Daphnia pulex: one gene and its partners. The protein of the gene in region 3 interacts with the protein of the main gene of each other region in a biochemical or structural test. Links are inferred from orthologs where the notes say so. Each region holds a gene or a part of one and is shown on either strand. Other genes may lie near its edges. The genes, in order: Golgi apparatus protein 1-like, OTU domain-containing protein 5-B-like, polyubiquitin, E3 ubiquitin-protein ligase NEDD4-like, ubiquitin domain-containing protein UBFD1-like, DNA polymerase iota-like and UBX domain-containing protein 1-B-like.

Region 1 (2,734 bases), on a different chromosome or scaffold from region 3:
AACACGTTTTTCATTTTCTTATAATTTGTTTATTCATTCAAAATTTAACGAAAAAAGAACTAAAGTTTATGATGGAAGCTTAAGGCAATTTTCTACCACAAAAAATGAGCCATATTTCATCACAACACCTATATTTTATGTCAATGCAGGTTTGGTGTTTTCTTGAATTTTATTTTCATATTTAAGCATTTCAAATAGTACTACAATATTTGTTTTCTTTTAATTTAGAGCCTCATATTGGGCATGTCTACACAGCAGTCCTTGCTGATTCCTCAGCCAGATTTCATCGTTTAATTGGTTGCAGCCCTGTTGTATTTTCTACTGGGACTGATGAGCATGGCCTAAAAATCCAACAAGCATCATTACAGGCCAATAAAGATCCCAGCCAATTCTGTGATCAGGTTTCTGTTCTATTTAAAAATGCTTTGGACAAATGTGAAATTGGTTATACCGATTACATCAGGACTACTGAAAATCGACACAAAGAAAACGTTCACTCATTTTGGGTAAATGTCAGTGCAATGTGAATATGTTTCACATATTAATGAGCCATTTTTTTAGAATATTCTTTCAGATAAAGGGTACATCTATAAAGGAAAATATGAAGGTTGGTATTGCACAGCCGATGAAACATTTGTTACAGAAGATCAAACCACACTAGTGAAATTGCCTGATGGTCGTGAGCAACGAGTCTCAACAGAATCTAATCGTCCCGTTGAATGGTTCAGTGAAGAAAACTATTTGTTCAAGTTATCAAAGCTAAGAGGAGAAATTTTAAAATGGTTGATCAGTGGTAAGTTTCCTTTTTTTCAGTAGTGTACAACAAAATCACAAACCAAACAATTTTTTACAGGTCCCGTTGTTCGACCTGTGCGGCATTATAATCTTGTAAAATCATGGCTTGAACAAGATCTTGTAGACTTGTCAGTATCTAGGCCTCGTGCAAGATTGTCTTGGGGTATTCCAGTTCCAGAAGATCCTTCTCAAACAATTTACGTGTGGCTCGATGCATTGCTAAATTACATGACTGTCGCCAAACACTCACATTCTGACAAGGTAATATTTTAAAAAATTTATATTTTTCAACACATTAAAACGTATCCGAACCTTTGATTCCACAGAATATCTGGCCGCCGAGTGTTCATGTGATTGGAAAAGATATCTTAAAATTCCATAGTATTTACTGGCCAGCCTTCCTTTTGGCTGCTGGTTTTGATCCCCCGAAATGTTTACTAGTACACGGCCATTGGCTGGCCGACGATCAAAAAATGTCTAAAACTACGGGTAACGTCGTCAGCCCTCAGTCTTGCATCGATATCGCAACAGCAACTGGACTCCGTTATTTTCTGTTGCACGAAGGAGTTCCAGCCAGCGATGGAAGTGAGTCATACATTGTTCTCAAGTGATTTGTTTATCAATCTTATTAATAGTTTTGAAAATGACAAAGATTTTAGTATGACGAAGCTGGTGCGAATCGCCAACTCTAATTTGGCCGACGGCATCGGCAATCTAGTCAACCGCTGCTGTGGCAAGAATTTGAATCCTTTGCAGATAAGACTTGCAGTCAGTCCGTCAGATTTTGAAGCCTGTGGTTCTCCAGGATTAGAGTTGCTTGATCTTTTACAACGCACCCCTGACATTGTTCACGAAGAATATCTACAGTGGAACTTTTACAAGTAAATTCGTGTGTTTTGCCTGGTTATAAAAATCAAACCTAATCACTAATTGTTTAATTTACAGAGGAATTGAACAAATCATGGCTCTAGTTCGATGTGCCAATGGTTTTTTCCAGACTATGGAACCCTGGAAGTTGAAAAAAGAAGGCGAGATTGACAAACTGAATGCCACATTGGCCGTCACCATGGAAACTGCAAGGGTAGTGGGAACGCTTCTTCAACCGATCGTGCCTTCTTACAGTGAACGTTTACTCGGTAAGTTGATTCCTTTCGAATGACGAAAGCTATTTCCGGGATCATGATTTTAAAAGGATGAAATATTTCCATTAAGACAAATTGGGTGTGCCACGGGAAAATCGCGACTGGAATTTCGCTCGACTACGATCGAGTACCACCGATACTTCTCTCGGCGCTCAAGGGACTGTCCTCTTCCCCAAAATCAAATCTGACTAAAAATTTAACCTTCGCTGTTAGCAGGTGAATATGTTCAGTGACATTTGATTGCGTCATTCAGTCTGAAATAGAATGGCGAATAAATTTTAATACTAAAAACGTTGATGTAGTCGTGATTTTCGCATCACTTTCCTTGAGCTTTTGACCTCGTTTAAATGTCCTTTCCTTTATTAATTTGGGGGGCTTCTTTAAGTTTGTAAATCTGGTATAGATCGTGTTGATAACGCAAACGGCTAGTAACAGGATTCCACTTTTTTTGTTTTTAAATAAAATTTTCTTCTTCTTTTTTTCAGCCAAGGCGAAACTTTTAAGTCACTAATGGGATTATGTAGCACCGCGCTCTCTTTAAAATAGTAGATTGAAAATTATCGAACGGAATCGTTAGCTCTTTATTGAAACGGTTGGAGACAGAGCGAAACTGCCCAGCCCTTTTGATACGGTCAGCAGGTGAAATGTGGATGTCCTTCACTACTTTTTTCTTCTTTGTCCTTTTTTCGGGTGTCCGGTTTTGCGTAATCGCCTCTTTCCGCTCTAGGGTTTCTTCAGCGGAGCGTCTGCTCCGGTAGACGCCGGTCGTAGACCACCCAAGCCATAGAGGGACTCCG
Region 2 (4,064 bases), on a different chromosome or scaffold from region 3:
ATCGCTATCTTCTTCCTTAAAGGTGACCATAGGAACATTTTGATAAATCCTGGGGATGTTGATTTCCTTTAGAATCGAAGGACTCTCTGGTGAGACTGCTTCTAATGCTTTTTTGCCAAGCAGTTCTTCTGAAGCACTTTCATCTCTGACTGTGTTATAATAATTCAGTTTACTTGATCTATCAGTTTCGTCAAAAGCCATTGGGACTTCCCAGTCTCCATTGGTCTTGTTCTTTGAATTTTGGCATTGAAGAATGAGCTGTTCGACTGACATGATAAGGAAAAATCCTAAAATGCATGTGAATTCAGCAACAGGAAAATCAGTTGTTATATTAAGGTCTGCAAGCACTTTCCTCGTCTTGTCTTGCGCATAAGGAAGTAGTCCTAGAAAGCACATTGCGATGAAGACTCCACCAGCCATGGAATTACAGAATGAAATTATTCTTTCTGTACCACGACTAAAGTTGCAGTCCTTGGTAGATTTCTTGGCTACAATGCAGACTGGAATCAAAGCACAAATTGCCATAACAATGTACACAATCAAAGCAGTGACAACCAGCAGTACTTGGCTATCCATGTTGACTGCCACTATGCTTGGATGTGTCTGATGGACTGATGCAACTGTTTACTCTTTTAGAATTTTTCGTTTAGTAATTTTCAGCGTTCGCACAGGCCAGATGCCACTGACTCTACTCACTGTCCCTTCGCGTTATTATAAAACTCAAAACTACTTGAGACAAGGGCACTTACTGCGCCTTGAGCGAAATATTAACTCGAGCTCGGTCAACACCCTCTGTCGGTCGATTTGTATTTATTTTTATTTTTTTTGTGCTTTACATCTTCTGCTCGTTTTCTTACTTCATGCTAGAAGGAACCTACGACAGGTTCTACAATAATGCTACAATAATTAATTCACCTACCTGAAAGGTATATGCAGGGTGATTTTATTCCTTCCTGGCAGAAGTTATGCAATGTTTCACTTAAAAAGTAAAATTCCAGACACACGATCAAAACGAAGTCAATGTCACAATACTGGCAGAGCAGACAGAATGTTCGTATACAATTAACATCCTTGGTTGCCTTCTTCGAGCAAAAATTCGGAAATTGAAAAATACATATTAGCTAGAAGCTAGCTAAAAAATATTTTTCAACACAATTTTGCAAACATGAAAAATTATGTTTTTTATTCATAGCATCACTCCGAAAATTCATTCCATTGAAAATTTGAAACATTTTGAAACTCTATGTTTTCGCTTATTCATCGACATGGCAACCTCTAAATAATTTAGACAGAAAAATAGACACGGCCATCTTTCAGTGGAAAATTTGTCTTTTTCGTTGAATAGATAAAAGAAATCGTCGAAGAGTACATTTCAAGGGCGTTTCGGTAAAGAGAGTGATCTTTGCACAAGCATCATGACAATTCTGCCGAAAAAGAAGTCATCTCAATCACGGTCGGAATCCGAAAGTAATACTGATGGATCTCCCCTACAACACCTCTCAGTTGGGAGCAATAATCACCTTTCACACATTGGACCAGTACCACAGGTAAAAAAATTATTTTTATAAATATACCCCAGTATTTAAACAGCCTTTGGAAGAAATTATGGCTGGAAGTTTCAGTGCATCTTCTAATTGACATCTGAAACAACCACACAAAATGGCCGGTCCAGCTACAACCAGTACTTATGTACAAGAAGCAAATGGTGCTTTGTTCATTACACCCTTGCCATTTAGGCAGTGCTCAATGAATAAAAGCAAATAGTATTGATAACTATTATTGACAAAGATGACAAAAAGTCAGCATTGTTGATTCTTATTAAAATGTATTTTACATAAATTTTACAGGTAGCAGAAACTTGCAGTGTGTCTAGGCTGTCTGGAAGAACATCATCAAGCCATCCCCACAGCCACGGACACAGCAGCCAGTCATCATCTCGCTATGAAGATTATGACCTGGAGAGTGGTCCTAGTCAAACAAAAAGAAGAATGAGAGTCAGTCCCCATAGGTATTTAATCTCAGTTATTATTTTGTTGCATTGAAATTTGACAGGCATATTTTTTTTTTATTTAGAGCTGTCCGCCCCAAGCACAGAGATAGGAATTCATCAACCTCTGCCATACCTAGTACTAGTTCAGCCATGCACAGTGTTGCCTCTTCATCCAGCTCAGGAAGTTCTCCCACACCAAGCCATACAGTACCAGATCCTTCTTCCCATGAAGATGAATCAGGAAGTGGATATAACAGTGGAGATGAATATGGACCTGCAAGATCTTCATCTTCTAATGTCCCCATTTCTGAAGAAGAATGGGAACAGGTATGTTTCCTAAGACAGAAGTGTTATTCATAGAACTCCATCAATGCCAATATGATTATTAGAAGGAAAGATGGTTTGAGAAAAAGATGCGGAAACGAGGTTTTATTATTAAGCGGATGGGTGAAGACGGAGCCTGCTTGTTTCGTGCCGTTTCTGATCAAATCTACGGTGATCAAGAAATGCACTCAATGGTTCGCAAACATTGTATGGACTATATTGTAAGTAATTGTCCTGTTGTATTTTTATGAATTTGAAACATTACGTCTATATTTATATTTGTCATAAAAGGACGCAAACGGAGACTACTTTTCACAGTATATGACTGAAGACTTTGCCGCCTATGTGAGTAGAAAAAGATTGGAAAATGTACATGGCAATCACATTGAGATGCAGGCTATGAGCGAAATGTACAACAGACATATTGAAGTATTTTGCTACAGCGTCGGTAAGCCCTTATCATTTCGATAAAATTCGCTAAATAGAAGGCTTACTTAAATTTAACCCATTACAGAGCCGATCAATATTTTCCATGGTAAACATCAGACTGATGACGAACCTATTCGATTGTCTTATCATCGTGGAGTGCACTACAACAGTTTGGTTGATCCGTACAAAGCCACTGTGGGAGTAGGACTGGGATTGCCAGGATTTGTCCCTGGTCAAGCAGACAAGAAATTAATGGGTGATGCCATGCGACAAAGTGAAGAGACCTTAATTGAAAAAGCCATGTTAGAAGATAAAGTTAAAGCCACAGATTGGGAGGCAACAAATGAAGCTATTGAAGAGCAAGTTGCCCGTGAAAGTTACCTCGACTGGCTTAGAGAAAACGAGCGACGCAGTCGACAGCAGCAACGGTCCGGTCATTCGGCAACCACTTCCTCGAATGCCTGCGAGCTCCGTTCCCCAAGAACAACAGCAACGACGTCCTCTTCAGCTCGTAATTCGCCCAAACCATCTTTTGTTGAACACCAGCGGAAGTCTCCAAATGCTTCACCGAGAGCGTCCACTTCACGCAGCGCCACAACCTCTAGTAGTCGTGAAGGTGCATCAACTAGCCCTATCGCGTCACCGGCCGCTGGTACTTCAAGTTCAAACCCAGTGAACACCAGTAAACCCGATTGGGGATTGGGGCCAGGCTTTGAATTGGCTGAAACGGCTTCATTCCTGGGACAGTTGCCTCCTGACATGTTTGGTAACTGACGTTTATATCAACAGATATTTTCAGTTTAATTTTATGCTTTAAAATTGGCTAAAGGTTTAGCAGACTGGGAGGATGCTGGACTTTTGGCTCAAGTGCTGGCTGCATCGCAACAAGAGTATCTGGACAAGTTGAAAAAGAGCAGGGAAGCCATCGACCCTCACGACGACGAGACGATGGATAACACCAAACAGCAGCAAGAGGAGCAGCCGGTTGAACAGAGCAGTCGCGACAGTATGACGACAGATCCAACCAACGACCTGACCAGTGCGAACGGGACTAACAATAGTTAACCCAGACTCCTCAGTTGTTTTGTCTACGTGTTAGCTTTCCTTTTTTTTTCCCCCCGTCAGTGGCAGGGAGCTCAAGAGGCGTGTATCAGGGGAGGAGTCAGAAGAAAGTCCTTTCCATGCAAAATTGTTAATCTTTGATTCTCGGTCTAAATTTAGACTCGCAATGACGTCTGACTGACACAATTGGATTGAACTTGCCTGTACCCCCGTCTCCTCCACTGCCGATTCTCGCAAACTGGCTGCCAAATCATGTAAA
Region 3 (2,189 bases):
GCTATTCTTTACTCAGGTATCCCACCCGACCAGCAGCGTCTCATCTTTGCCGGAAAGCAGCTCGAGGATGGTCGTACCTTGTCCGATTACAACATCCAAAAGGAGTCGACTCTTCACTTGGTTCTTCGCCTCCGAGGTGGTATGCAGATTTTCGTCAAGACTCTCACTGGAAAGACCATCACCCTTGAAGTTGAACCATCGGACACCATTGAGAACGTCAAGGCTAAGATCCAAGACAAAGAAGGTAAGAAACGAAAAGGAATACTTGCTTAAGATAAATATTTATGTGATGACACACTTAGGACACCTAAATATGTACCCTGATTACTTAATTGGTCTGATGAGCAATATTAAGATTATTGAAACATTTTTCCCGTTCTAGTATTAATTAGTTACTTAACCTACAGGTATTCCTCCCGATCAGCAGCGTCTGATTTTCGCTGGTAAGCAGTTGGAAGATGGTCGTACACTGTCCGACTACAACATTCAAAAGGAGTCAACCCTCCACTTGGTTCTTCGCCTCCGCGGTGGTATGCAGATCTTTGTGAAGACCCTGACTGGAAAGACCATCACTCTTGAAGTTGAACCATCCGACACCATCGAGAACGTTAAAGCGAAAATTCAAGATAAAGAAGGTAAGCTTGCTTCGATTTTGATATAATTTGGAAAATTGGTTTTTGATGATATTCTTAGGACACCTAAATATGCACCCTGATTACGAGTTTATCTGACGCATTTAAAACATTATTCGTATTGTGTGTTACGAACGTGTGTTTAATTAGCTTATTTTCTCCCCTAGGTATTCCTCCCGATCAGCAACGTCTGATCTTCGCTGGTAAGCAGTTGGAAGATGGTCGTACTCTGTCCGATTACAACATCCAGAAGGAGTCCACTCTTCACTTGGTCTTGCGTTTGAGAGGAGGTATGCAGATTTTCGTGAAGACTCTTACCGGAAAGACCATCACCCTTGAAGTGGAGCCATCGGATACAATTGAGAACGTTAAGGCCAAAATTCAAGACAAAGAAGGTAATAATTTGGAGCAGTTTTTATTTTTTTTTCATCGATTATGATGACACTTTATTAGCTCTTTAATATGTACCCTGATTACTTCTTTTCCAACGTGTACTGATATAAATTCTAGAACTTCAACGACTTTCTATGGTGTAAAAAATCTAATCCATTCTTCTTCTACTCAGGTATCCCACCTGATCAGCAGCGTCTCATCTTTGCCGGTAAACAGTTGGAAGATGGTCGTACCTTGTCAGATTACAACATCCAAAAGGAGTCTACTCTCCACTTGGTTCTGCGTTTGAGAGGAGGTATGCAGATCTTCGTCAAGACCCTGACAGGAAAAACCATCACTCTCGAAGTTGAGCCGTCAGACACCATTGAGAACGTCAAAGCTAAGATCCAAGACAAGGAAGGAATTCCTCCTGACCAGCAACGTCTCATTTTTGCTGGAAAGCAACTTGAAGATGGACGTACTCTTTCGGATTACAACATCCAGAAGGAATCTACTCTTCATTTGGTCCTTCGTCTTCGCGGTGGTATTTAAATACCGAAATAATTTGAAGCTTTATCGCAAGTTCTAACGTTTGAACTGATATCCGGAAATGTTTTGTCCTCGCTTTGGCGTGTTTCGTTTTTTAAGTTGATTTAAATTGAAATACAAATCGAAATTGCATTAATCATTGGTTTTATATTACTTCATTATAATACGTTATAATAATTAAATTGGTAACGAACAATAAAATTAATATAATAACAATTGTGTTAAAATTGAATTACAACTTTTGAACTCAATTTGCATTTGTCATCAAACTTAATTACTACTCCAATAATTTTTTTTTTCACTGAAAATGTACAAGGCCAACACTGTATTCATTCAAAACTGTTATACTACAAACGCGTTTTACATGTTTAATTCCTTGCGGCTGCCATTGCATTGTTAATTAAATTCTGTAGGTATTTGACATTTTTAACTAGATCAGCTTTAGGGTCGAACTCTGTGTGTTTGACTGTGACCACTCGATAGCCTGACTGGGTAAGAAGTCTCTCACGCAATCCTTGAGGTCCTGTACTGAAAGACTTTCCTTTGCACAAATGATTGTAGTTAAGCACTATTACCGCAACCCTAATGTAAGCAAACATATTAATAATAACTAGAGCAAGTCTTAAGTTTTTTCTG
Region 4 (4,080 bases), on a different chromosome or scaffold from region 3:
TGATGTGGAAGCTACCTAATTCGTCCGTCACGGATAACCCACCGCCCTATTCTGAAAATCCATCCAATCGTCTAGTTATCGAAGAAAGTGAAAACAGCCGCGAAACCACAAGTAAAAACAGAAGTTTTTATTTCGTATTTCAACAAATTTAATGCATTATATTTATGTTGCAGGTCTTTTAGTTGTTCCATCCGCTCCGTCGAATGATTTAGTCGAAACACCTATGAGTCACACGTTGATGTTACGACGGAGCAACGATACTTTGGATTCTAGCGATTTTTTGGACGCGGGAACACCTCCTCCTAGTTACGCAGAAGTTCTTGCTTGTATTTCAACTCCAGCTATGAATGAGATAGAAGGAGGGGCCTCCTCAGTCAGGGGTAATGTTAGTTGAGAAATGTTTAATTTACACAGCTGTTGAATTGGAATGCTTTGTTTATAGAAGACGACGACGAACTTCCTTCTGCTCAATGGAGGAATAGTTTGAACTTGCCGAGAGAACGTTCTCCAGCCGAAGTTGCCATTCAACGTTTCAGCCTACAACTTGCCCTCGATTGCTCAGACACAAGCAGCTGCACGAGCAGTTCAAGTCACGCCCAACCTGGGACTTTGAGCACTTCCTCCTCTTCTTCTGCCGCGTCGATTGCCCATCTGGGCTCCAATTGATTATGTGTACTTATTCTTTAGCAGAATCAAGTATCTACCTAAAGCAGAATCTAGTAGAAGAAATCAGCTACTTCAGTCTAGAAGATCTCGTTTGACTGTTCGATGTATTGATTCTGCTCTCGTTGTGTTGTCACCTTTTACTCGCTTTTCTCTTTTTTACGCGACTATGTGGGGCTTCTCCATGTATTTTCATTTCAAAAAGCCTTCACATAGTTAATTCGTTGTCATCTAGGTTATTTTTGAAAACCTTTGACAAATTTCCTCCATGATGTGTTTTTCGACGGTATTTTCCCCCAATCATTTTGAATTGTATTCATTACAACGTTTCTATTATGTAAAATTATGTGCTTAGACAAAAGGCTTCGAAAATCACAGTCATCTATTGATGGGCACATACGTCATTAATATTATAATCCACATATAGGCAGTCCTGTCGCGGTGACGGTAGGTTGCTTTGAATGTGTTTATTGTAGGGCAGATTTCTCTATATAATCACGCCCCTCATTTCAATTTTTTGTAAACGGTAACGTATTATCTACAGCCGACCACTTTCGAACAAAGAAATAAATTGAGTTCAAGCATGTGCGATGTTTCGTTTTTTTCAAGAGCGCATTTAGTAGAGAGCATTGTCACAAACTCACATCGATGGGTCACGTGACTGACGAAATTCTCCATCAGCTGATATTCATCAGTTCTCGAGTCGACTTTCGTTGCCTACAACTATACAAGTTGTCTGCTCTCTGGTTGTGTTGTACGCTGGGGCTGGGGCGTGAAAAACTTCATTTTCAATTAGTTTGTTCAATTTTAAACCTTGAAAATCTGCAGAGTCAATACTCATTTTTTATCGCATCAAGTCAAGGAAAATTCAAAAGTTTGCATGGCCGAAAGTCGTGTCTATGGGCTCAATAACGCAATGGTACGTACTACGTGTCTAAATACCGAAATATGAAACCTTAAACCCGGACAAATCTGGTCAAAATCAGATTTTGTTTACTTTTTTTTGTTTGAAAGGAAGGCAAATTTCTGTTTGTAAGTCTGTACATGATTTGATATTTATTCTTTTAGCCTGAGCTTACAAGTTTACTTCGTTTACGTGTGATTGCTGGGCATAACCTTTGCAAGAAAGACATATTTGGAGCAAGGTAATAACAAAGTGTGGTGTTTGTTGTATTACTCATGTCCTCACTTTTCTTCCTAAATTTAGTGATCCTTATGTGAGAATTGATTTGGTGGCAAATAATGGAGAACAAGTGATTGATTCAGTGTTGACACGAACCAAGAAAAGGGTATGTTGCAACATCACAGTGCTGCCAGTAGTTTGTTTCTAACTTTAATCATTTACTTCACAGACCTTAAATCCAAAATGGGATGAAGAATTCATATTCCGGGTCAAACCTTCAGAACATAAGCTAGTGATGGAAGTGTTTGATGAAAATCGCTTGACCCGAGATGACTTTCTGGGAATGGTAGAACTTCCTTTGGTTGGACTTCCAAAGGAACTACCAGATACAAGTATACCCAGGAAATATTACATTCTTCGGCCACGAAGGTACATGCTATTTTATGCTAATAGATTGCAATTGCTGTTTCTTATTTTTGCTTTCATGCTTAATGTTTATGTCCTTTATCTTAAAACAGTGCGCGTTCCAAGGTCAAAGGACATCTGCAACTATATCATGCATACATCCCTGATCCAAATGAAGTTTCGGAGATTACAGTAGCCAATGATTCTGTCGCTGCAACCGAGCCTCAAACTCAGGATCCCGAACCTGGTTGGGAAATGGTTGATACGACAGATGGTGTTAATAGTGCTGGACAGGCACAAGTAGAACAGCCAGCTAGAGTAAATCTGATTAAAATAGTTAAAATATTTACATTTATATTCTCGCATACTAATATACTGATTTTTATTCCAGCCCGTTTACGTTCAGGGAAGTTCTTCCGCTCCAGACGTCGCCAATGCAACGGCCCAGTCTGTCCCTTTGCCTTCTGGTTGGGAGGAACGTCAAGATGCTAACGGTCGAACCTATTACGTTAATCATATTGCTCGCACCACCCAGTGGGAGAGACCGTCCATCCAGCCAGGTAAATGAGCAGTCTGGAAGGCTTGTTATTTTATGAGTATTATCACGAATTTTCCTTTCCGTTAAAGCTGTGATTCAGGAACAGCAGTTGGCACGTGAACGTAACCTTGAAACTGCTGGATCGGATATGCAACGACGCTATCACATATCGGACGATGCCCATCCGCTTCAAGCTGGACTAGATGCAGCCGCTGGTATTGCTGATCAGGTAGAGTTGATCTCGTTTTTATTGGGTCTCCCGGTTATGTTTATATCTACTCACGAATTTTGCCACTTTCTTCTGCATGCTGTTTCGGGAAAATCGATATTATTTGAGGAGGATGAATATGACGATGAAGAACTTGATGATTATTATGATGACGGGGACGAATTTGATGATGAATACGATGATTATTGGGATGATACTGCAGAGGGCGATGAACAGGTTTGATTAGCCTGCCTCTGCGCGTTGTTACAGTTGTAAGAAAAGCTAGAAATATTCGATGTAGAATATCGAGCTAGTAGACTATGCTAAACTTACAGTCAGCTTAACCGAATTTGTGCTTACCTCCTCTTGTTTTATTCGAAATTTGTAGTTAAGAGATGTACAAATTAATGGCAGTCCAAGACCTAGTCCAGCGTCACCTCGTCACTCCGTAACGGTAATTAGAATAAAACCTGATTTCCTTTTTCGATGCTGACCTTCCTCATGGCGTGATTTTTAACCCATATCTTTACCCTCAAATTTTAGTCTATTGACGGCGGAGAACAGGTTGCAAATAGTACGTCTCCAACCCCACCAAGACCTGTAGTTGTTCCTAGCAGTGAAGGACTACCACAAGGTACGTGAATCATTCATTTCCTCGTACGTGTACAGCTGCAAACTTCTCGTTTGGAAACATCTAGGTTGGACAGTGCAAGTTGCTCCAAATGGACGTCTATTTTTTATCGATCATAACAAGCGGGCTACAACTTGGGTGGACCCAAGATCAGGGAGACCATCGACACTTCCGCGGCAGAGCCAGTTCGTATTCTTTTTGTTGGGCTTCTCAAACAAAAACAAAGCCAAAAATGAAGGTCATTTCAATAATTCTATTATCTGTTTGTTCAGGAGCCCTGGAAACAAAAACTTCCAAGATGAAGCGCTGGGACCTCTTCCGGAAGGATGGGAAGAAAGAATCCATAATGATGGCAGAATCTTCTACATTGATCATAGTAAGTTGGCATTTTCCGTCAGGTGGTACTCGTACAGCTGACGCTTAATGCATTCTTGACATGCAGATACACGAATTACCCAATGGGAAGACCCCCGTATGTCGAACCCTAATATTGCTGGACCGGCTGTTCCTTA
Region 5 (3,358 bases), on a different chromosome or scaffold from region 3:
GACGCGAGTTATGAAGCCAGCTTAACCCAACATTATCCTTTTTTATTATTTAATTTTTTTTTTACTGCGCACGGTACTCCGCAATTACCGACCAGTTACCGACATTTCACCACTCGATTTCCTCAATAGATGGATTTGTAGCATTTATGAGTAAATATTACGTAAAAAAAAAGCTGAGGACATGTGCCATCATCGAAGGGAAGTGAAACGAGGTCCGCGTGATCAGTCACGAAGATTATAAATAAATTCCTACATACATGCATCATATGAGAAGATGATGTGTAGATAAGATCTTCTCTTCCAATCCCATATCGTGTTCGACTTACGGCGAACCAGCGAATTAGAGAAGATTTAGTAGAATTATTATTAAATGAAAAACAAAAATAAATGGCTCCATACAAGTAGACTGTGTTGAGGATACTTTTTAAAAGATATGATTAAATGATTTCATTTTAAACTTTATTCTTAGAAATTGAGAAAGAATTAGAATTATGAAATTAATTTTGTATGTGCTGTTTAATTGTTACACCTCAAATAGCAAATGAGACTAAGACCAGAACAAAATATTGACAGCCATTAAGACACATGCTGCAGCAATGTACTGACTTTTCCTCTCACCAATTCGAGCACTTTTCCAGAACAACCCCAAAAAACTGTAACGAAAAAAACAAAACAAAACTTGTTAATGTGAAAATTCTGAATTGACATGTAAATTGACAAAACAGTCAACATCTTGATAATTTACGAGAACCTACATAAACATAAGTCCTTTAGGTACACAATTTTACTTCTCACCCTGTTTTGTTACGATCTAGTAGACTTGGAGTCAGTGATCGAATATACGCACATGTGCATATAAGAAGTAATGTGATCGTAAGAAGAGACTGGAAGTTGAACAAGGCTGACTACAAATAACAAGAAATATGAGGTAAGCAAGTAAGTTTTATATCATTAAAATAGAATACCATATTGTAGTATTTTAGCAATAGGTCTACACGCTTATTTCCTAGCCCTTTTATGTGAGATAGGCAAAATCAAGTTCAACAAATATTTATGAGATGAGATTAACAGACTCAAAAGTTTTGTTTTTTTGTTTTGTTGATCTTGTCAAAATTGGCCTGCTTCCTAGCGGCTGCTGTCGTTATTTATTGAAAATACATATACGGAAAAATCCAATATTAATTTATATTTTGTACCTACCTACTTTAGCTATGCATATTTTACATTATATTTTGACTTTCTTATTTTTTTCCCCATTTTAAAAATGAAGTTAGCCATACAAAAAAAGCAATATATTTTATTTATTTTATTTTATTAGTGTACTGTCAACAGCGTTGTATATATATATAGTCCGTCAAGTCTGTTTAATTCTCAATAGGTGTCACTACCCGTTAGTAAATAGAAAAAAGTACTCGTCTCCTCTCTCGTTTGTTCCAGTCTGGTTTGCTTTCTCAAACTTGAAAAGAAATCTACTATTTTTGAAAATACCTGATTTTCGAGGATTTAGATGTTTGTGCAAATCTGGTAGGAGTGCTGCTTAATTTAGAATTGAAAGTTGTCCACATATATTATTAGCCAATTGTTGAAACTTCAGTCGTAGCACGTTTTAATGTTCGTAGACGTTTGCACAACGTCTACATTATCAAATGGAGGAAAAACAAGACATTCTTGAAGAATTAACACTTCCAGGCAATGTTACTGCAAAAGATGTGGAATTTAAGGTAGTTTTTAACAAAAAGAAATATGATGTTATCTTCAATCTGGATTCCACAATTGCTCAGTTAAAGGAACATTTGCACACCATCATTGGTGAGAACTGAGAACTCAGTTATTTTTGAAATTACTCTTGTAGAAAAAATATTAAATAATGAAATGTAAATTTTTAAGGTGTACCAAAAGAAATGCAAAAACTCATGGTCAAAGGCCTTGCTCATGATGACAAATCCTTAAGAGATTCTGGAATTATTTCAGGATCGAAAGTTATGGTCATTGGGTCAACATTTGATGATGTTTTAGCTCTCTCTCATCAAACAGCAACAGTATTAATTTTCAATCTTATCAGATAACTTATTTATGAAAATTGTCTGAAATTAATTCTCTTTTGTCAGTGGATCCCTGAAGATAAATTGAAACCAGCAAGTGCTATTAAAGAACCATTGTGTCATCAGAAAATACATAAAAAAGTTTTGGACAAAGGACTACCTGAGGATGTTATGCCTGGTGTTAAGAATGCCAAAGTTTGTTGCATATCTACACACTTATTTGAAAAGTACTTCTTAAAGTTGTTTTGATTTTTCAGGAAGGATTACCACCTCATCCATTGAATGGGATGTGCAGCCGAGGCAAAGTAAGATTGACATTCAAGATGGAAAATGACCAAATCTGGATAGGTATATACAGACGTTTTTTGTTAATGGAATTTTCAAGAATTCTACAACTTATTTTACGCACAATTGTAGGAACAAAAGAAAGGACAGAGAAAATCAGCATGTCATCAATAAAAACCATTGTGAATGAGCCAATAGAAGGACATGAAGAATACCACATTATTGTAAGATTCTTGGCACATTTGCTCTCTTAATGATTCTTTGTTCTCTGTTTTTTTACCTCTTTTACATCTCTTTCATCAGGGAATTCAGCTTGGTCCTACTGAAGCTTCAAGATATTGGATCTATTGGATACCATGTCAATATGTGGATGCAATAAAAGAAACTATTTTAGGGAAGTGGCATTATTTTTGATTAAAAAATATGTTCAATTTCTGGAAATTGTCACTTGATTCAATACTATTTATAACTTTTTCTGCTAATATAAATTGATGAGTTGAGTATTTCTTAAATAACATTTCTAAATATGTATATTTGTACTCTATTTTATATTTGATTTTACTTTTAATCATATAAAATACCTCCAGGAAGAGTGAAAAAGACTGGGTCTACTTTTTGTTTAACGATGAAGATAAATGACTGATCGAGGACAAAGTATATCCGATAAATCAGTAAATTGGTTTAATTTACAATATTGTCTCTTTCGTGTTGTATGCAATATGCCTGCCTTTGTCGACATGCAAGACATACTGTAAAAGCAACCCATAATGAAAAAAACAAAAAAGGTTCAACGGAGTCTTTAAGTTAGATTTACAGATAATTACCTACCAAATTTTGAATTTCTTAGTACAGACGGTGTTCTGCCACTGAGAATGGTTCAGCTATTCAATTTAACATTGGGACAAAGGGATATCGGCAAAAATCTACGTAAAATGACTATTTGGCAATCGAAAGGCTCAGCATTCAGTTTTAAAAATGCATACCGGTACCAAGAGATTGGTTGTTTGGCAAGTTAGCAAGCTCAGAGTGGC
Region 6 (3,406 bases), on a different chromosome or scaffold from region 3:
CTTTCGTAATTACGAAGTGTCTATGCAACATTTTTATTCCTTACTATTTATATGATTCTGTTGATTTATCTCTTAGAGTAAGGAAGTAGCATGAAAGCTATAGATACCAGATAATACTGCCTTAGTGTGTGAATGACAAGGTTGCTTGACACTCTTGTGATGAATTTTATGTTTTTGTAATCATTTGACAAGGCCTTACAGTGGAAACTAATTTCTGACTTTTCCTATATTGAACATTTCACTTTTTAAATCTGTTTAAATAGAAGAAACAATTAACTTTTCTGTGCATTGCACATCTCTTGACAGCAAAGAGGACTGTAGTGTAAGAGAATATTTTGTTGTTTCATTAGTGCTTTTTAATGCTTATGGGGATTCCAAAGCTGTGTACATTACATTGTCTTGTCTTGCAGGTCTGACAAACTTCTTTTAATGGAAGTGTGTTAAGAAATGGAACTATCAAATCTCACTAACAATTTTAGCTGTCCTCAAAACACTTTCAGATTTTGAGGAATGTGTATTTTGAGGAAAATGCAATCAGTCAATACAAAGTGGAAAAGAGTATCATGTTTTAGTCTAGTTTGAATCCTTTTTTTATGAGGTCAGCTTTGGCATCAACTATCTCTTGTTTTAGCTCTTTGGCAGCCTCCTCGCAGTCATTAAATGTGTAGACTCTCCAAGCAATTATTGAAACAGAAATCACCTGCAATAATGAGGGAAAAAATTGCTATAGATAATACGCACCATATCATATAAAAACAAAACTTACTGCGAATGCGAGTAATACGTAAAATGGTAGGAACAGAACGAAATGCCGGGCAAAGTCGCTAGAGTTTCCAACTGGTGTACTGATAAAGAGGTAAGCCCAAACACCAGCAAACAAGCCTGCACCACCCAACCATTCAACCAATTTTGTCATAGTGAATAATTGACAGAATGACAACAAGGAGAAAAAACGAATGACAGAAAGAAAAGAATTTGCTGGCGTGTCATGTAAAAATCAAATGTCATGAATTTCTGCATAGTTGCCTGAAATACTTGATCATTTTCATATGGTTATCTTTATTATTTCGTGATATTTTAAAACAACACTAATTCATTTTTTAAGTTTTCTTCATTTCAATCAGAAAATAATCAATTAGCTTATGAAATATTTTGAAATAATGAATTTTCATTTTCTTTGCGCTTCGGGCTCATAGTAACAAAGCAGACGACACTACAGTGCTGTCATTTGCCGGTAGTTGAATTGTTATTGTTTGTTTAAACTTTTTCCTTACTCTTTCCGAAATGGAGGAAGAAGATTTAGGTGACGATTTCTCGTACAATAGTGTTGCCATTCAGTCAAGTGAAAAACATGAACGCGTTATCATCCATATAGATATCGACTGTTTTTATGCCCAAGTTGAAATGATTCTAAATCCATCTTTATGTGGCAAACCACTTGGTATCAAACAGAAAAATATTGTTGTAACCTGTAACTATGAAGCAAGAGCGCTGGGTGTTGAGAAACTTATGTCAATAAAGACCGCACTAGAAAAGTGCCCTTCCTTAGTACTTGCAAATGGAGAGGACTTGAAAAAGTATAGAGACATGTCAGAGAAGATTTATCAAATTCTTCAATCGTTCAGCCCATTTGTGGAGAAACTTGGCTTGGATGAAAATTTTATTGACATTTCCCACAAAATCAACAAGTCCCCTGAAATTAAACCAGAAGTTTCTGGACACATTTTCGAAGAAAAGAACAGTGATGAAACTTGTGCATGTGGTTGTACAGACAGACTAAAAGAAGGTTCTATTATTGCTCAGGAAATGCGAAATCAACTAAAAAGTGAACTTGGAATCACCTCCTGTGCTGGAATTGCTTGTAACAAGCTTCTAGCTAAATTGGTTGGAGCAACCCATAAACCAAATCAGCAAACCACCTTGTTCTCAGCATCATCTTTAAACTTGATGAAATCATTGAAGCATCCTAGAAATATTCCTGGAATTGGTTCAGCAATGAACAGAAAACTAGAGGTTCTTGGTATTGACACCATAGAAAAACTTCAAGCAGCAGATTTGTTTAAGCTTATTGAAGCACTTGGAGTCAAAACAGCTAACCAAATTCAACAACTGAGTTTTGGGATCGACGATAGTCGTGTCAAAATAACCGACAGACCGAAATCTATTGGAGCCGAAGATGGATTTCCTACAATCAAAAGTGAAACTGAAGTGCGCAAGAAGCTCAAGTGCCTGCTAGATCGAGTTTGGGAGTTAGTGGAGAAGGATGGCCGTAGACCAAGTCAAGTTAAATTGACAGTTCGGAAATTACATGCGACCAATCACAGTGTCAGAGAGGCCCGCCAGACTGCAATAGATCTTACGACTGGAGTTCCTAGCAACGCGCCATTAGGACCGTTAAGTGAAAATCAAGAAAAAAAAGTCATCACGACTCTAATGAATCTCTTCGAAAAGGTAGTAAATTGCGATGAATCGTGGCAAGTTACATTGTTGGGTATTTCGTTCTCTGGTTTTCCCTCTGGCATCGAAAGCCCAGCGAAAAATTCCATCAACAAATATTTTACTAGTTCATCGCGACCGAACGAAACTTTGCCACCTCCAACTAAGCGTGGACGCTTTGACGAATCTGTCCTCCAAGAATTACCTGATGACATCCGTCAAGAAGTTTTAGAAGATATGAAGTGTCAAATACCATCATCAAGCACCTCCCAACAGTCAGCAGATTTTGATTGTCCAAAAGGTGTCGATCCTCAAGTTTTTCGCGAGCTCCCGGTGGAGATCCAGAAGGAACTGCTGGCTGGGGAGAAAAATAAGAAGCCAATCGCAACCAAAAAACCTAATAACTTATTACAGTACTTCCGTAAAGTGTAAAAATGTGTTCTGTAGTAGCTATAAATGATCAACAAAGACATGTTATTTCATGGATGGGATATAATTTTAGCCACTTCCTTATCTTTCGAGACCAAAACACCTTTTCGGCCATCTTGTCTAGTAATTAGCAACAACCAACGTTAAGGTAAGTGAGGCGTTTTGTTTCCGTTTTGTTGTTGTTGTTTTTTTCTAGAATACTTACTATCCTGGCATTTTTAGTTTTTTTTTAAAGATTTTGAAATTTGAGGTTTGGCCACACAGAATGCTGAACGACCAATTTTAGAAATCTTATATTATATAAATATTCATCGAGTTTGCCGATTGTTGTTTAGTTTACATGTATATGTATGAAAAAATGAAATTGTCATTCTAGTTGCATGTCACCGTCGACGGTTTCCAGGACATGTATGGTGACGGTTTACATCATACAACTTATCCTTTTCTGGAACTCTATTACTGAACAAAAGTAAATAACCAACAATTTCTAATGTAAATTTGCTTTCTTGCTTTCACTTCATACGAGACGTGTGCAAACTAG
Region 7 (3,221 bases), on a different chromosome or scaffold from region 3:
TTCCAAGAATGTGATCAAATAAACATTTCTTGAGAACTTATCCAAAATTGCAACATGAATTTGTTTTTCTAGCTGTTTTATAGAACATTTTTGATGCATCACTCAGTCCTTGAGATTTTGATACAAGGTCATCCAGTTTTTCACCCCTTTGCAATACAGCTTCAATTGTGTTATGCTATGACAATCAAACATGACTGGTTAAAAAAAAATTAAAACAGATTGAAACTTTAAGACTTAAATTACCAAAATAATCTTAGTCTCATCTAGTTCATCTTGAACTTTAGTTAGAGCATCTGCTTCTCTGGGATTTTGATATTTTGCCAAAGATGCTTCTAATCCAGAATAAGCTGCACAGGCAGCATTTGCTTCTATCCAAAGAGATGATTCCACCCGAGCAGCAAAATCATCAAGCACCTTTTGTAATTAAGAATATCTCATCATTTCAATTCAACCAACATACAAGTAGCACTCACTTTGGTTAACAAGGTATGAGCAACCCTCTGTGGGTATTCATGATCTGCCGTCAAAACACAGCAGAGTCCATCTGCTCTCACATAAATGTGACACATATACTCTGCAATAAAGAAATAACATTTAATTTATAATGTACATTGAGTTTTATGATGACTCTTTGCATACATACCTCCTTGTTTCACCGATTGTCTGGACGCAGCACTTGTCCTTTCAGTCAAGATCTTGGCAGTGAAAGCCATAAATTCTTGAACGCTGCTTCGTTGAAAAAATCCAAAACTTGAGAGGTCGTAAGCCGCTCTAAGTAGCTGTGGTGACCCTTGCTCGCTGCGATGTAAAATCGCTAAAGAATACAGCTTCACCATTTTTCTAGATTTGACTAGTAAATATAAGATCCTCCAACAATCGTCTTACTGATAAGTGGAGAGGCCTTTGTTAATTAGTACTAAAGGTTCAAGTGGACGGCTTGAGTTTTTCCTCAGAAGCGGTTAAATCCGATCCGATAGAAGTCTGCAAAAAGTGACAACCAACAAGAGAAAAAGTTCAATAAAACAACGGGAATGGCCGAAGAACCCATTTGTTGCATCGGAATACACCGCCTCTAGCGGATAAACGTAAAATAAGCTGTTTCCCCGCGCTAATTTGGCGCTAATCAGATTGCTAAATTGAATTATAGTTAATTGCAAGAAAGTAAACACTTTTTTAGTAGAATTAATAATAATTTGAGAAATAAAACATTTGGTTTCAATGTAAATTTCAATACAAAAAACACAAAATTTTACAAAAATCTTTGGGGCAAAATCACACCAACAGAAGAGGCTTCATCGTCACTTTTTTAATAACATACTGACATTGCTAGCGCTAGTCGGACGACATACCTCTGTTCTGTTGTTTTTCGAAGAACGAAATACCGAAAATGTCATCAAATCTTCAACTGTTACTAGAAATGGGATTTTCTGAACAGTTAGCGTAAGTTTTAATTCCAAATAATTCATACCTTTTATATTTTTTAAATGGCAACTTAATATTTTGTTATATTTCTTTGAAATTTGAAAAGTGAAAAGGCTATTAAAGAAACTGGAGACCAAAATATTGAAGCTGCAATGGATTGGTTGATTGTGAACAGTGAGAAATTCAATCAACAAACTGACAACAATCAAGAAATGAAAGAGGAAGAACCAAATGCTGCTGCTCAACCTGAAGCATCAAATGCTGAAATGGCTGCTGTTACTGCCAAATCTATTAAATGTGATGAGTAAGTATGGAACTCAAGTCAACCATTGAATTTCTTACATATGTTTTTTAAAATTTCCTCTAGATGTAATAGACTATTTCGCACAAATGAAGAGGTAGAATTTCATGCTGCGAAAACCGGTCACAGCCAGTTTTCAGAATCTACTGATGAAAAGAAGCCTCTCACTGAAGAAGAAAAGAAGGAACAACTGAGGAAAGTGGAGGAGTTGATGAAGTTGAAGCGCAAAGAACGTGAAGAGAAAGAAAAGGCCGAACAACTGGAGCAAGAAAAAAGAAGAATACAGTCAGGCAAGGAGCTTCTCAATATAAAAAAGAAATTCGAAGAGGATGAAATAAGAAAGATTGCCGAAGAACGGAGGCGCGAAAAAGAAGAAGAGAAAAAAGCCAGACAGCGAGTGAAAGAACAAATTGAACAAGATAAATTGGCACGAAAACAGAAAGCCGGTGACGCAACCAATACGCCATATGTAGCTCCTCCAGTTCAGGCTCCGGCTCCGGCACCGACAACACCCAATCAGCCCAAGGACTATAAGGAGACGAAAATCCAAATAAGGTTATAAATCATTCTGGATGACGCAAGTCCCTCTTCCATAACTCTTTATTATTTCTTCCAGACTTCCAAATGGATCGACAATGACGCAAACATTTGGTGCTAAGGAGCAGCTAGCTTCAGTTCGTCTCTTCATTCAAATGAATAGGACCGATGTAAATGCCGGAGTGCCGGAACCATTTCGGATTCAAACAAATTTTCCTAGAAAAGTATTTACCGAAGAAGAGTTCGAGAAGCCACTCGATGTGCTAGGATTAGTTCCAAGTGCTGTTTTGATGGTATCAAAAGCATGAGAATTATAAAAGACTGAAAAACGAATTTTTTTATCTCATCTTGAGATTTAATTTGTATTTGTATCTGATAACAAAGTCGAGCGAGTGAAAGAGTGTGTTGGGGGAGAAAGAGGCGGGTTTCAGAAATAATTACACATAAGATTGTAAGAGTCACGAAGTTACTTAATTTTTTTTCTCATCTTTTGAAATTTGATGTTTGCACGATTTGATAGATACCTACACCTGTTTCTCATCACCTTCGAATGATTGTTTTATTATTCCTACTAACAAATCGCGTATCACCCGCCGTTCCATTAAGGTTATAGCGGTTTTTGTTATACCTGTCTAGGGCTCGTTATTACAACATAATGCTAAGTCAAAACAGTCCAAGGCACTTTGACAGGTTTCGTCTGACAAAATGTCTCACTTTCTCTCCCCCTCTTTGCCTTCTTTAAAACCAAAAAAAGCAAGCCGTGGGAAGAGAAAAGAAAAGAAATCGGAAGTGTCGACACAAAATCCACACCACGTGACTAAACCAGGTCTACTTCCTTTTGTTTCCTACAGTAATTTTTAGTTAACCTCTTTTGTTTTGTTTTGTTTTTGCTTTTTTCCCTCTGTACATTGGAAGAAATCGTCAGGACGTAAACCTCCTCCTTCCTCCTCCCGCTCACGGC

Evidence for each region.
Region 1: the proteins of polyubiquitin (region 3) and Golgi apparatus protein 1-like form a complex in vitro, tested with the Homo sapiens proteins (2 studies listed by BioGRID). The link is inferred for Daphnia pulex from reciprocal best matches to the Homo sapiens genes UBC and GLG1.
Region 2: the proteins of polyubiquitin (region 3) and OTU domain-containing protein 5-B-like form a complex in vitro, tested with the Homo sapiens proteins (9 studies listed by BioGRID, with this or other methods). The link is inferred for Daphnia pulex from reciprocal best matches to the Homo sapiens genes UBC and OTUD5.
Region 4: of the proteins of polyubiquitin (region 3) and E3 ubiquitin-protein ligase NEDD4-like, one has a biochemical effect on the other in vitro, tested with the Homo sapiens proteins (6 studies listed by BioGRID, with this or other methods). The link is inferred for Daphnia pulex from reciprocal best matches to the Homo sapiens genes UBC and NEDD4L.
Region 5: the proteins of polyubiquitin (region 3) and ubiquitin domain-containing protein UBFD1-like form a complex in vitro, tested with the Homo sapiens proteins (2 studies listed by BioGRID). The link is inferred for Daphnia pulex from reciprocal best matches to the Homo sapiens genes UBC and UBFD1.
Region 6: the proteins of polyubiquitin (region 3) and DNA polymerase iota-like form a complex in vitro, tested with the Homo sapiens proteins (6 studies listed by BioGRID and IntAct, with this or other methods). The link is inferred for Daphnia pulex from reciprocal best matches to the Homo sapiens genes UBC and POLI.
Region 7: the proteins of polyubiquitin (region 3) and UBX domain-containing protein 1-B-like form a complex in vitro, tested with the Homo sapiens proteins (9 studies listed by BioGRID, with this or other methods). The link is inferred for Daphnia pulex from reciprocal best matches to the Homo sapiens genes UBC and UBXN1.

Annotation. Positions count from the first base shown.
Region 1 is NC_060026.1:12,903,409-12,906,142, reverse strand, and holds the end of Golgi apparatus protein 1-like, read left to right. Parts: intron 1-228; coding exon 229-506; intron 507-561; coding exon 562-793; intron 794-853; coding exon 854-1,056; intron 1,057-1,121; coding exon 1,122-1,380; intron 1,381-1,447; coding exon 1,448-1,676; intron 1,677-1,740; coding exon 1,741-1,931; intron 1,932-2,007; coding exon 2,008-2,129; 3' UTR 2,130-2,234; downstream 2,235-2,734. UniProt on the Homo sapiens protein: Binds fibroblast growth factor and E-selectin (cell-adhesion lectin on endothelial cells mediating the binding of neutrophils).
Region 2 is NC_060018.1:2,564,231-2,568,294, reverse strand, and holds the start of OTU domain-containing protein 5-B-like, read left to right. Parts: upstream 1-1,264; 5' UTR 1,265-1,415; coding exon 1,416-1,547; intron 1,548-1,847; coding exon 1,848-2,008; intron 2,009-2,073; coding exon 2,074-2,317; intron 2,318-2,379; coding exon 2,380-2,535; intron 2,536-2,605; coding exon 2,606-2,762; intron 2,763-2,828; coding exon 2,829-3,509; intron 3,510-3,572; coding exon 3,573-3,808; 3' UTR 3,809-4,064. Other genes in the region: zinc transporter ZIP1-like, read right to left, coding at 1-576. UniProt on the Homo sapiens protein: Deubiquitinating enzyme that functions as a negative regulator of the innate immune system. Has peptidase activity towards 'Lys-48'- and 'Lys-63'-linked polyubiquitin chains. Can also cleave 'Lys-11'-linked ubiquitin chains (in vitro).
Region 3 is NC_060024.1:13,924,171-13,926,359, forward strand, and holds the end of polyubiquitin, read left to right. Parts: intron 1-16; coding exon 17-244; intron 245-407; coding exon 408-635; intron 636-799; coding exon 800-1,027; intron 1,028-1,197; coding exon 1,198-1,556; 3' UTR 1,557-1,689; downstream 1,690-2,189. Other genes in the region: FAST kinase domain-containing protein 4-like, read right to left, coding at 1,922-2,135.
Region 4 is NC_060022.1:1,841,552-1,845,631, forward strand, and holds the start of E3 ubiquitin-protein ligase NEDD4-like, read left to right. Parts: upstream 1-1,280; 5' UTR 1,281-1,543; coding exon 1,544-1,582; intron 1,583-1,731; coding exon 1,732-1,808; intron 1,809-1,870; coding exon 1,871-1,952; intron 1,953-2,015; coding exon 2,016-2,215; intron 2,216-2,304; coding exon 2,305-2,509; intron 2,510-2,582; coding exon 2,583-2,751; intron 2,752-2,818; coding exon 2,819-2,958; intron 2,959-3,325; coding exon 3,326-3,391; intron 3,392-3,480; coding exon 3,481-3,571; intron 3,572-3,635; coding exon 3,636-3,753; intron 3,754-3,840; coding exon 3,841-3,944; intron 3,945-4,010; coding exon 4,011-4,080. Other genes in the region: integral membrane protein DGCR2/IDD-like, read left to right, coding at 1-111, 174-380, 443-666. UniProt on the Homo sapiens protein: E3 ubiquitin-protein ligase that mediates the polyubiquitination of lysine and cysteine residues on target proteins and is thereby implicated in the regulation of various signaling pathways including autophagy, innate immunity or DNA repair.
Region 5 is NC_060023.1:5,225,165-5,228,522, reverse strand, and holds ubiquitin domain-containing protein UBFD1-like, read left to right. Parts: upstream 1-1,330; 5' UTR 1,331-1,646; coding exon 1,647-1,809; intron 1,810-1,887; coding exon 1,888-2,039; intron 2,040-2,108; coding exon 2,109-2,237; intron 2,238-2,299; coding exon 2,300-2,390; intron 2,391-2,459; coding exon 2,460-2,551; intron 2,552-2,630; coding exon 2,631-2,741; 3' UTR 2,742-2,858; downstream 2,859-3,358. UniProt on the Homo sapiens protein: May play a role as NF-kappa-B regulator.
Region 6 is NC_060019.1:7,787,980-7,791,385, reverse strand, and holds DNA polymerase iota-like, read left to right. Parts: upstream 1-1,210; 5' UTR 1,211-1,284; coding exon 1,285-2,868; 3' UTR 2,869-2,906; downstream 2,907-3,406. UniProt on the Homo sapiens protein: Error-prone DNA polymerase specifically involved in DNA repair. Plays an important role in translesion synthesis, where the normal high-fidelity DNA polymerases cannot proceed and DNA synthesis stalls. Favors Hoogsteen base-pairing in the active site.
Region 7 is NC_060026.1:12,912,322-12,915,542, forward strand, and holds UBX domain-containing protein 1-B-like, read left to right. Parts: upstream 1-1,257; 5' UTR 1,258-1,387; coding exon 1,388-1,440; intron 1,441-1,528; coding exon 1,529-1,726; intron 1,727-1,789; coding exon 1,790-2,278; intron 2,279-2,339; coding exon 2,340-2,568; 3' UTR 2,569-2,721; downstream 2,722-3,221. Other genes in the region: synaptobrevin homolog YKT6-like, read right to left, coding at 38-175, 244-414, 474-574, 644-836.